Linked DNA regions of Oryzias latipes. The main gene of each other region encodes a partner of the protein of the gene in region 2 in a complex. Links are inferred from orthologs where the notes say so. Each region holds a gene or a part of one and is shown on either strand. Other genes may lie near its edges.

The links.
Region 1: crcp (region 2) and polr3k share a complex: the UniProt entries of both Homo sapiens proteins name them as parts of the RNA polymerase III complex. The link is inferred for Oryzias latipes from reciprocal best matches to the Homo sapiens genes CRCP and POLR3K.

What each region holds. Positions count from the first base shown.
Region 1 is NC_019866.2:8,138,435-8,141,792, reverse strand, and holds polr3k (DNA-directed RNA polymerase III subunit RPC10), read right to left. Parts: upstream 1,760-3,358; 5' UTR 1,654-1,759; coding exon 1,543-1,653; intron 1,448-1,542; coding exon 1,360-1,447; intron 824-1,359; coding exon 696-823; 3' UTR 584-695; downstream 1-583. Other genes in the region: snrnp25 (U11/U12 small nuclear ribonucleoprotein 25 kDa protein), read left to right, coding at 2,128-2,340, 2,960-3,050. UniProt on the Homo sapiens protein: Core component of RNA polymerase III (Pol III) which synthesizes small non-coding RNAs using the four ribonucleoside triphosphates as substrates. Can mediate Pol I proofreading of the nascent RNA transcript.
Region 2 is NC_019872.2:8,448,947-8,453,242, reverse strand, and holds the start of crcp (DNA-directed RNA polymerase III subunit RPC9), read left to right. Parts: upstream 1-1,413; 5' UTR 1,414-1,489; coding exon 1,490-1,497; intron 1,498-2,610; coding exon 2,611-2,647; intron 2,648-2,745; coding exon 2,746-2,844; intron 2,845-2,917; coding exon 2,918-3,012; intron 3,013-3,142; coding exon 3,143-3,200; intron 3,201-4,296. Other genes in the region: protein FAM111A, read left to right, coding at 1-553. UniProt on the Homo sapiens protein: DNA-dependent RNA polymerase catalyzes the transcription of DNA into RNA using the four ribonucleoside triphosphates as substrates.

The DNA.
Region 1 (3,358 bases), on a different chromosome or scaffold from region 2:
CATCTCTGTGATACTGAGATTGTAGAGATTCCTCACTGATTTGAAAGTAGTAAACCGTATTTAAGCTGGAAAGGGATGCAGCCATCATTGCATTGATCACCTAATCTTGACATTTGTCATCTATGACATAAATAAATGCATGTTAGATGAAGCGATAGCCTTGACTGAGCAGTCTTTTCAGATTAAGCTAAAAAAATATCAAAAATACAGTTTTTATTGGATAAACCACTAACAGTGTAAAAGCACTGTTCCGTCACAGCATGTCCGATTTCATTTTTCACCAACGCTTTGGAGGTGCAGAATTTGTCTGCATGAGCTACACATCCAAATAAGTGATTCTCTTTGGCTGGCTCCTAGATTTGTATTTTTTTTTCTCTTCCTTACCTTAAGGATGATTGAGTTGCTCTAGAAATTGCATTTTGAGCTCAAGGATTGCATAGAAAATAAACGTGTGGGAACCAGTGGTATGCATTGCTCTCAATGTCTGCAACAAGATACAAACATCTAAGACAATTGAATTGACTGATGTACACAGGTATTATTTTATCAATAAAAGCTCTGAAATAAAGAATTTGTCCGTTGATTGATTCTGAAAAGCAAATTTTATTTATAAATAATAATGGGTCCAAAACATTCTTTACATGTGCTTTGATTGCCATTTAAACTAGAAATAATGAGTGAATGAAATAAAATGCTCAATCTCTCCATCTGTTTCCACACTGAGCATTACAGCATTTGTAGAAAGTCGTCATTGGTTCATCGGCTGATCTGGTCTGGATCTGCATGAAGTAGGCTCGAGGATGCTCGCATTTGGGACACGTTTCTGTGAAAAAACACAAGCAAACATGCATATATGTACACACATGTTCAGAATTTTAGTTAGTTCTCGGATTGAACTTCTTTCTGTGGCCCACATTCAGGTTGGTACTCGCCATAGCATCACACAGCAACACTGCCTCTAGCAAAAAGTAGTCCATTTAAGTGTACTACAAGTATACTTAGAGTGAGGCAGTGTACTTGAAGTTCAGTCTATATATAGTAAACATAAAATGTCACAATTTAGTCAGAATAAGTGTTAAGTTAATGTACTCCCTACACGTTACATGGTCAGCAGTATATGTGCAATACTTGCATCCAAGTACACTTAATAAAATAAACTTCAAGTGTACTTGCAGCTAAGGGTGACTATTAACACCCTTTAAACACGCAAATGGACTGTTTCAAATAAACTTTAATTTATTCCTATGGAGAACATATTTGTCTTAGTAGTCAAATTAGTTTTTCTTGGCCTTTGTTTTATATTATTCTCTAGTCTATCCATGTTTTTTTTTAATTCTTGGTAACAAACTTGTTTGTTACCTGCAGTAGAATCCACGTTCTCCCACGCTGCAGCTCCACCCAGCACATCATCCACCTCTTTCAGCTTGGGATATTTTCGGTAGTTTACCTACAAATATTGAAAAGTTTGAGATTAAAAACCACCCTAAGAAATGTCGTGTTTGTTTCTCGAGTCAGAGTCAGACAGTGATAAAAGGAGCGTACCTTTCTCGTGACGTTGTGCACATAGGGACAAGTGTTACAAGCGAATCTCAAGCATTTCTGTCCTTCTTCTACGATTAAAACGTTTCCACAAGTAGGACAAAAAAGAAGCATATTACCAGATTATTTAAAGAAAAACTATCTCGGGAAAGATAGTAGCGACTACGAAATTCATTAGCAAGGAGAAGCAAAGCGGAAGCAGTTGCTCCGGTTTTACAGCTCGGTAGGAAACAAAAAAAAAAAAAACGTTTGTTAAAAATGAAATTGTTATTGTTAAAGAATGTATATAAATGTATAAATATATGTATAACATTATAAATAATATAATTATTTTAAAACCCCACCATCCGCCGCATGAAAAAAAGTTCTTACTTTTGATAAGCGGAACTATTTATCATGTTTTGATGATACCACCGGTATAAGGTCTGCGACACACAGCATTAAAATTCACACCAGTCTTGGGATACATTTTTGTAAACAGTATCCTATTATTATTATTTTAAGAATCTTTTGTACTTAATTGAACGCGTCAAAAAAGAGAAAGCGGTTTCATTTTTACTGAATGTATTTATTTTTAACCAATAATAGATGATGGAGCAGGAAACCGACGAAGGAGAGAATCGTTTGCAGGACAGTCACAGTCACAGTGAGGTGAAAGAGGAGAAGCTGGCTGATGAGACAGCTCCAGATGCCGAGGAGGAAGATGAGGAGTCTCTTCCACATTCAGAGATCCTTGATATCTTCGAAGAGGGACTTGCTCGACTTGTGCAGGACCCTTTACTGTGTGATCTGCCGATCCAGGTCATAGAAAAACACCACACTCCGCACACCAGGCAGATGTTTAAAGAAAATTTTCATAAATTGTAAATTTAACACTAAAGTTGAAACGCGTCCTTCTTCCGGTTTGTCTGACGGCATATTTGCATAGCAGAAAATAGCTGCATATATATTCTTGAAAAGCCAAATCGAATCCAATTTCAAAACAATCTTATAGCTCTAATTTATGTTTTCTCTCCTTTTTCTTCTTGAAACTGTTTATACGATTTAAGAATTATATACGAATAGCAATGAAATAAATGTTCTAATCTAGAATTAAGTACCAAACATGCATAATAAAAATAACAAAAACACAGGTTATAATCCATAACATTAGTATTGTCAGTATTGCTCTTGTAACATTGGACTATTATACAATAATCACATTTGTTTTTTTTTAATCTCATTTATTATTAAGCCCAGAAAGAAATCTGTTATTTACAACTGGTTTATCTTTCGTATTTGCAAATTTGTCTTTGAGAAAACATGAAATGTCTGCAGTTATAAAGGATTAACCAAGTCCATTTGACTGATTTTTTTTTTTTTTACCCTCTACTGTGTTAGAAGGATGAGAATCCACAATCTGCAATATTTTTGTGTTCAGGTGACTTTGGAAGAAGTAAACTCCCAGATTGCATTGGAGTATGGGCAAGCAATGACTGTGAAGGTTGTTAAGGCAGATGGGGAAATCATGCGTAAGTTCCAAAGTCTCCCAGCTGATTTGTATAATTAGTATGTGTCTATATTGTGTTTGTATGACTATGTCTGTGTTCACTGCCTGACTCATCAGACCTCATAACCTTCTTCTATCGCTCTGGAGTCCAATCTAAATGTTCCCTGACAAACGTTTTTTTTCTGGTTGGCCTTAATGGTCAGTGGGTTTTTTTTTAAGGGTGCACAGCTCTTGTGTCCCGCATTATCCCTCCAGTTTTTCATAATGTGTTGGACAGTTCTTAACCCGTTCGCCCTCTCTGCAGTTTCTTTTGATGTTTAATTTACCGCC
Region 2 (4,296 bases):
GCACTTTGGTTTCCTTCCACATGGTGGTGGAATCAGCATTATCGGGCATCCTCAGGGAGGTGTGAAAAAGATCGACCCCTGTTTGATTGTTCCACACAGCCAGGTTGTTGATAGGGTTCCCCTGATAACCAAGTATTTCTTTGCTGATAAACTTTTGAAATACGAATCTAGTTTTTTCGAAGGCTCCTCTGGCTCTCCTGTTTTTGACAACCACTGCAATGTGGTTGCAATGCATTCAGGAGGATTCACCTACGACAAAGAAGGGATGGAAAGACGGGCTGTTGTTGAATATGCCCAACCTCTGCATTTCATTTTGGAAGATTTTATTATCCAAATGGTGGAGGGAAAAAAGTTTGACGTTTTGAGAGAATATCTTGATTGCAGCTACACTCGAGGCACCGCCGTCAAAGACGGTGTCAAAAAAATAGTTGAGAGCAGAAATAACCAACGGTTCAAAGAAGCTGCAAGGAGCTGTGTGGATGACAAAGTTGTACAAACATTCCTTGAGTTTTTCTGCCAAACTGAGGAACCTGTCCCAATGGAGGTTGTTTAGGTCTCATCATCTCATTTTATAGTTATCCTGGGCTTGACTGCAGTAAAACAAAGAAATTCCAGCAGTGAAAAGCAAAAATTAAACGAAAGCTTTAAACTCAGCTTTAATAAAAGTTAAAGCTTTAATTTCTGCACTTATTGTTTACTTTATTGTTGCTCCAAGCAATTCACATGCACCTGTTTAATATAATTATGTGATTTTTCTGTCCCAGAAACATTTTTAACCATCACTCTCCAGTTCAGAGAAAAAATAATGCTGGAAAAAATCTGTTCACTCTTGTATATTTTACTTGTATGGATGTCCAATTCTTACATTTCAGTCTTGACTCATTCCTGTATCAAGTTCTTGAAAAGAAATGCCAACAAAAGGTTTCCTTTTTTTGGTTGTTTTATTATGTTTTGGGATTTATTTGTTTTTTCAAATATAGATTACTCATTACTCAGTGCAGTAGCATAAAATTCATTGTACTTTTTCTGTTTTTGTTTTTAAAAAGCAAAAAGTGTTCAATACTGTGTGCTTCAAATCATGACTAATGAAACTGTATTAAAATCTGATAAAAGTGACTTCTAGTGTATTCCTTTTTTGTTCCCTTACCCTAACAGTAAATGTTAAATGTTTAATATGTTTAAAATAACCCTCGATGTGTTCAGGGTGTACTTCACCTTCTCCCTGATGCTGCTGCATGAGGCTCTGGAAGTCCTTGTTAATTTCATTGAACTGTTTGGTGAAGGGGCTTTCGAATTTACACTTTTTGAGATACTCTTACATTGTTTTTCATTTTCAAACATCTCGGCAGTGTTTCACTTTTTTAAATATTTATTCTGTTTTCTCTGATCCCACGTTCTATGTAAAAATGCGTTTTTTGCTAGGCGGAACCAATATACTCCCCTATTTTCTACACGAACCCCTTTATTGTAACGGAACCTAAGAGTCGACATGGAAGTGTAAGATTTTTTTTTTAAGAACAAAACAACGGCTAATAAGTCTTTTATGTATATTTACATGTACAATTTTAATTGTGATCGATGGTAGTTTCGTGCGTGTTTCAGTTTCGGGTTTATTATGTGATGTTTTGCTTGTTCCGTTGGGATGATGCTGTCGGCCAAAAAATGGAGAGATGATGATCGACACACAAAACAACTGAATTAAAACATATTGAGTCCGGGAGACTTTGATCCATTTTGAAGAGTTTGCAGTCTACAAATGTTTTAAATTGTATTATGTTTGGGGACGAAGTTAGAGACGGGACAAAAGGTCGCGAAATCGTTTATAAACGTAAATTTCAGAAGATGGGAGAAACAAAAAGCACGGGTCGGATTAGTTTGAGTTTGTGTTATCAAATATTTGTTTCAAATCATGAAACATTCCATTTACAAACACATTCTGCGTTGGCTCTTCAATAATAAATGAATTAGTTATGACATGATGAAGCAGCTAAAAAACATTTTGTCATCTAATATAAGCCAACTCAGCCGCACTCCACAACATTTGTCAACTTGTCACTTGAGCTCTGATCTAATTCATATTTGCCTGAAATCACAAACTTAATTTTTCTAAATAACATTGAAGCAAAGAAATATGGGAAACAGGTTTGAATTTAAACAGTATTCTGTCTTGTTTTTCATTAGATTTATTTATATTTATCAAAAGTTTGCTTTTTTTAATTGTATTTCTTTTCTTCTTCAAACTTGAAAAACAAAAACATTTGCTAATATCTATTTCAGTAAGTTTCAACGGCTTTAAAATAATCTAATTGATGGGTTTCTAGTTTTTAAAAAGGGAAAACACAAAAAAAAATTATTGCTGTTCATTAAAGAGAAGATCTGAGGTTCCGATTAAGAAAATTTCGTTATATAAATAAAAATCAAGTAGAGAAATCCAGCCGTTCTTTTAGTAACACAAGGATGTGAAGATCAAATCACAGAAGAAAAATGTTTACTAAATATATAAACTACATGGGAAATATTCCAATCTTATAAAGCTTGTTTTGGTAACAGATATTTTAATTATCTCATAATTTAATGTTTAACAATTGTTATTTGGGTTTTTTTACACAGAAAAAATGCAAACGCGGCCATGCTCAGTAACTATGAGGTGAGACTATAAGACTGTCTATTAAGGGTTTTTGTTGATTTTCCTGCCTGGTAATGAAATTAATTATTCAGAAAAGCTAAATAATGTCTTCGTCTCAGGTATTCAAACTTCTCACCGACCTGAAAGAACAGAGGAAAGATGCTGGAAAAAGCAAACATAGCCTCGGGCAACAGGACCTCAACACCATCATGTATGAAGTGGGTACTATTCATACTGTCTGAGCTTTAGTTGTCAAATCCAGTCCATGTTCTCACCTGCATTTGCTTTCAGACTCTAAAGTATTTGTCAAAGACGCCATGCAGCAGACAGAGTCCTGAAATTGTCAGAGAGTTCCTCACCACCATGATGCCTCAGAAGCTGACCAAGTCAGTATCTAAAAGATAATATTTTTCACCCCTCTGGGGCTTCAATTGTAATTTCCGCTTAATAAATGATGTATAGTTTGGGGATAAAAATGTCTCAAAGTTAAAATTTTGCCATCTTTCTCTCTTTAAGGGCAGAAAAACTGCAGCTGTTAAACCAACGGCCTCAGAGTGCAGTGGAAATTCAGCTTGTAAGTATTTTTCATGTCTTTCTAAATGTTTTATCTTTTTTTCCTAAATAATTTACTCATGTATTCCTATGGTAGCTCTGTATAACAAATGAGATCTTTCTCATATTTGTATTTTTGTTAACTCAACCCAAAAAGGCTCAAATCTAACCCAAAACATGCACTTTTTCACATGCATCCATCAGCAACTTCATTTGTTACATGTAGATTGCCCTACAGGTTCTACCACTCTGGTTTTTTCATGCTATTCCTGTCTGCAGGGTTAGTTTGAATGGGCAATTCACAGTAAATCCAGGCTTGAGCCCATTCCTGTAACGCATTAATAATCTATTGAAGCAGCTATTACAAGACAATGTTAACAATACCTTATACAGCAAACCAAAAAGACCCTCATGACCCGTTTAAGCAAAGCCTTATTATTGCTTTAGCTAAGCGTTGAGGTTATGGCTGTGATGGGTTTAGAAATATTTAATCCTTAAAATGGGTACATTGCACTATTTGACTAAAAATCAAGTAGAGAAATCCAGCCGTTCTTTTAGCAAACTGAGTAACACCAGGATGTGGAGTGCAGACTTCTGATGCTGCTTCACTGGGGTGTGGTGTGTCCCGAAAAAATCTTTTTTAGCAACCAATAATTACTCACCTAAAGCCAAGTGTAGAAGGCTCCCTCTATTAAGAAATAATCTGGTTTCATAATGCAACAGCAATTATATATTGTCCTAAATCAGTTATTCTAGAGCAGATTATCTCTTAGAGTACATTTTAAAAAGTGAATTTCCAAAACTATATGGAGCCTCTTAAAGAACTGCACTCCCTGTTTACCATTTGTCTCTCTGCAATCTGTATCCTTTTAAAATAAAAATATTTTTTTCAATACAAAGCAGCTATAAAGCAGTTGTTGCAGTGAACACAAATGAGGCCATTTCCATTAGCATCCACTAACATGCAGTTCTAAAACTCAGCCTGCAGATGTCGCCCTTCTCACTTTTGAGATGCTTTTAACCCTTGTGCTATCTTAGATGACCCCACCCTTACATTGACGTGTTCTCCCTACCATGACAAAGGTGGATAAAGGTGGAAAGATTTCATGTAATCCATG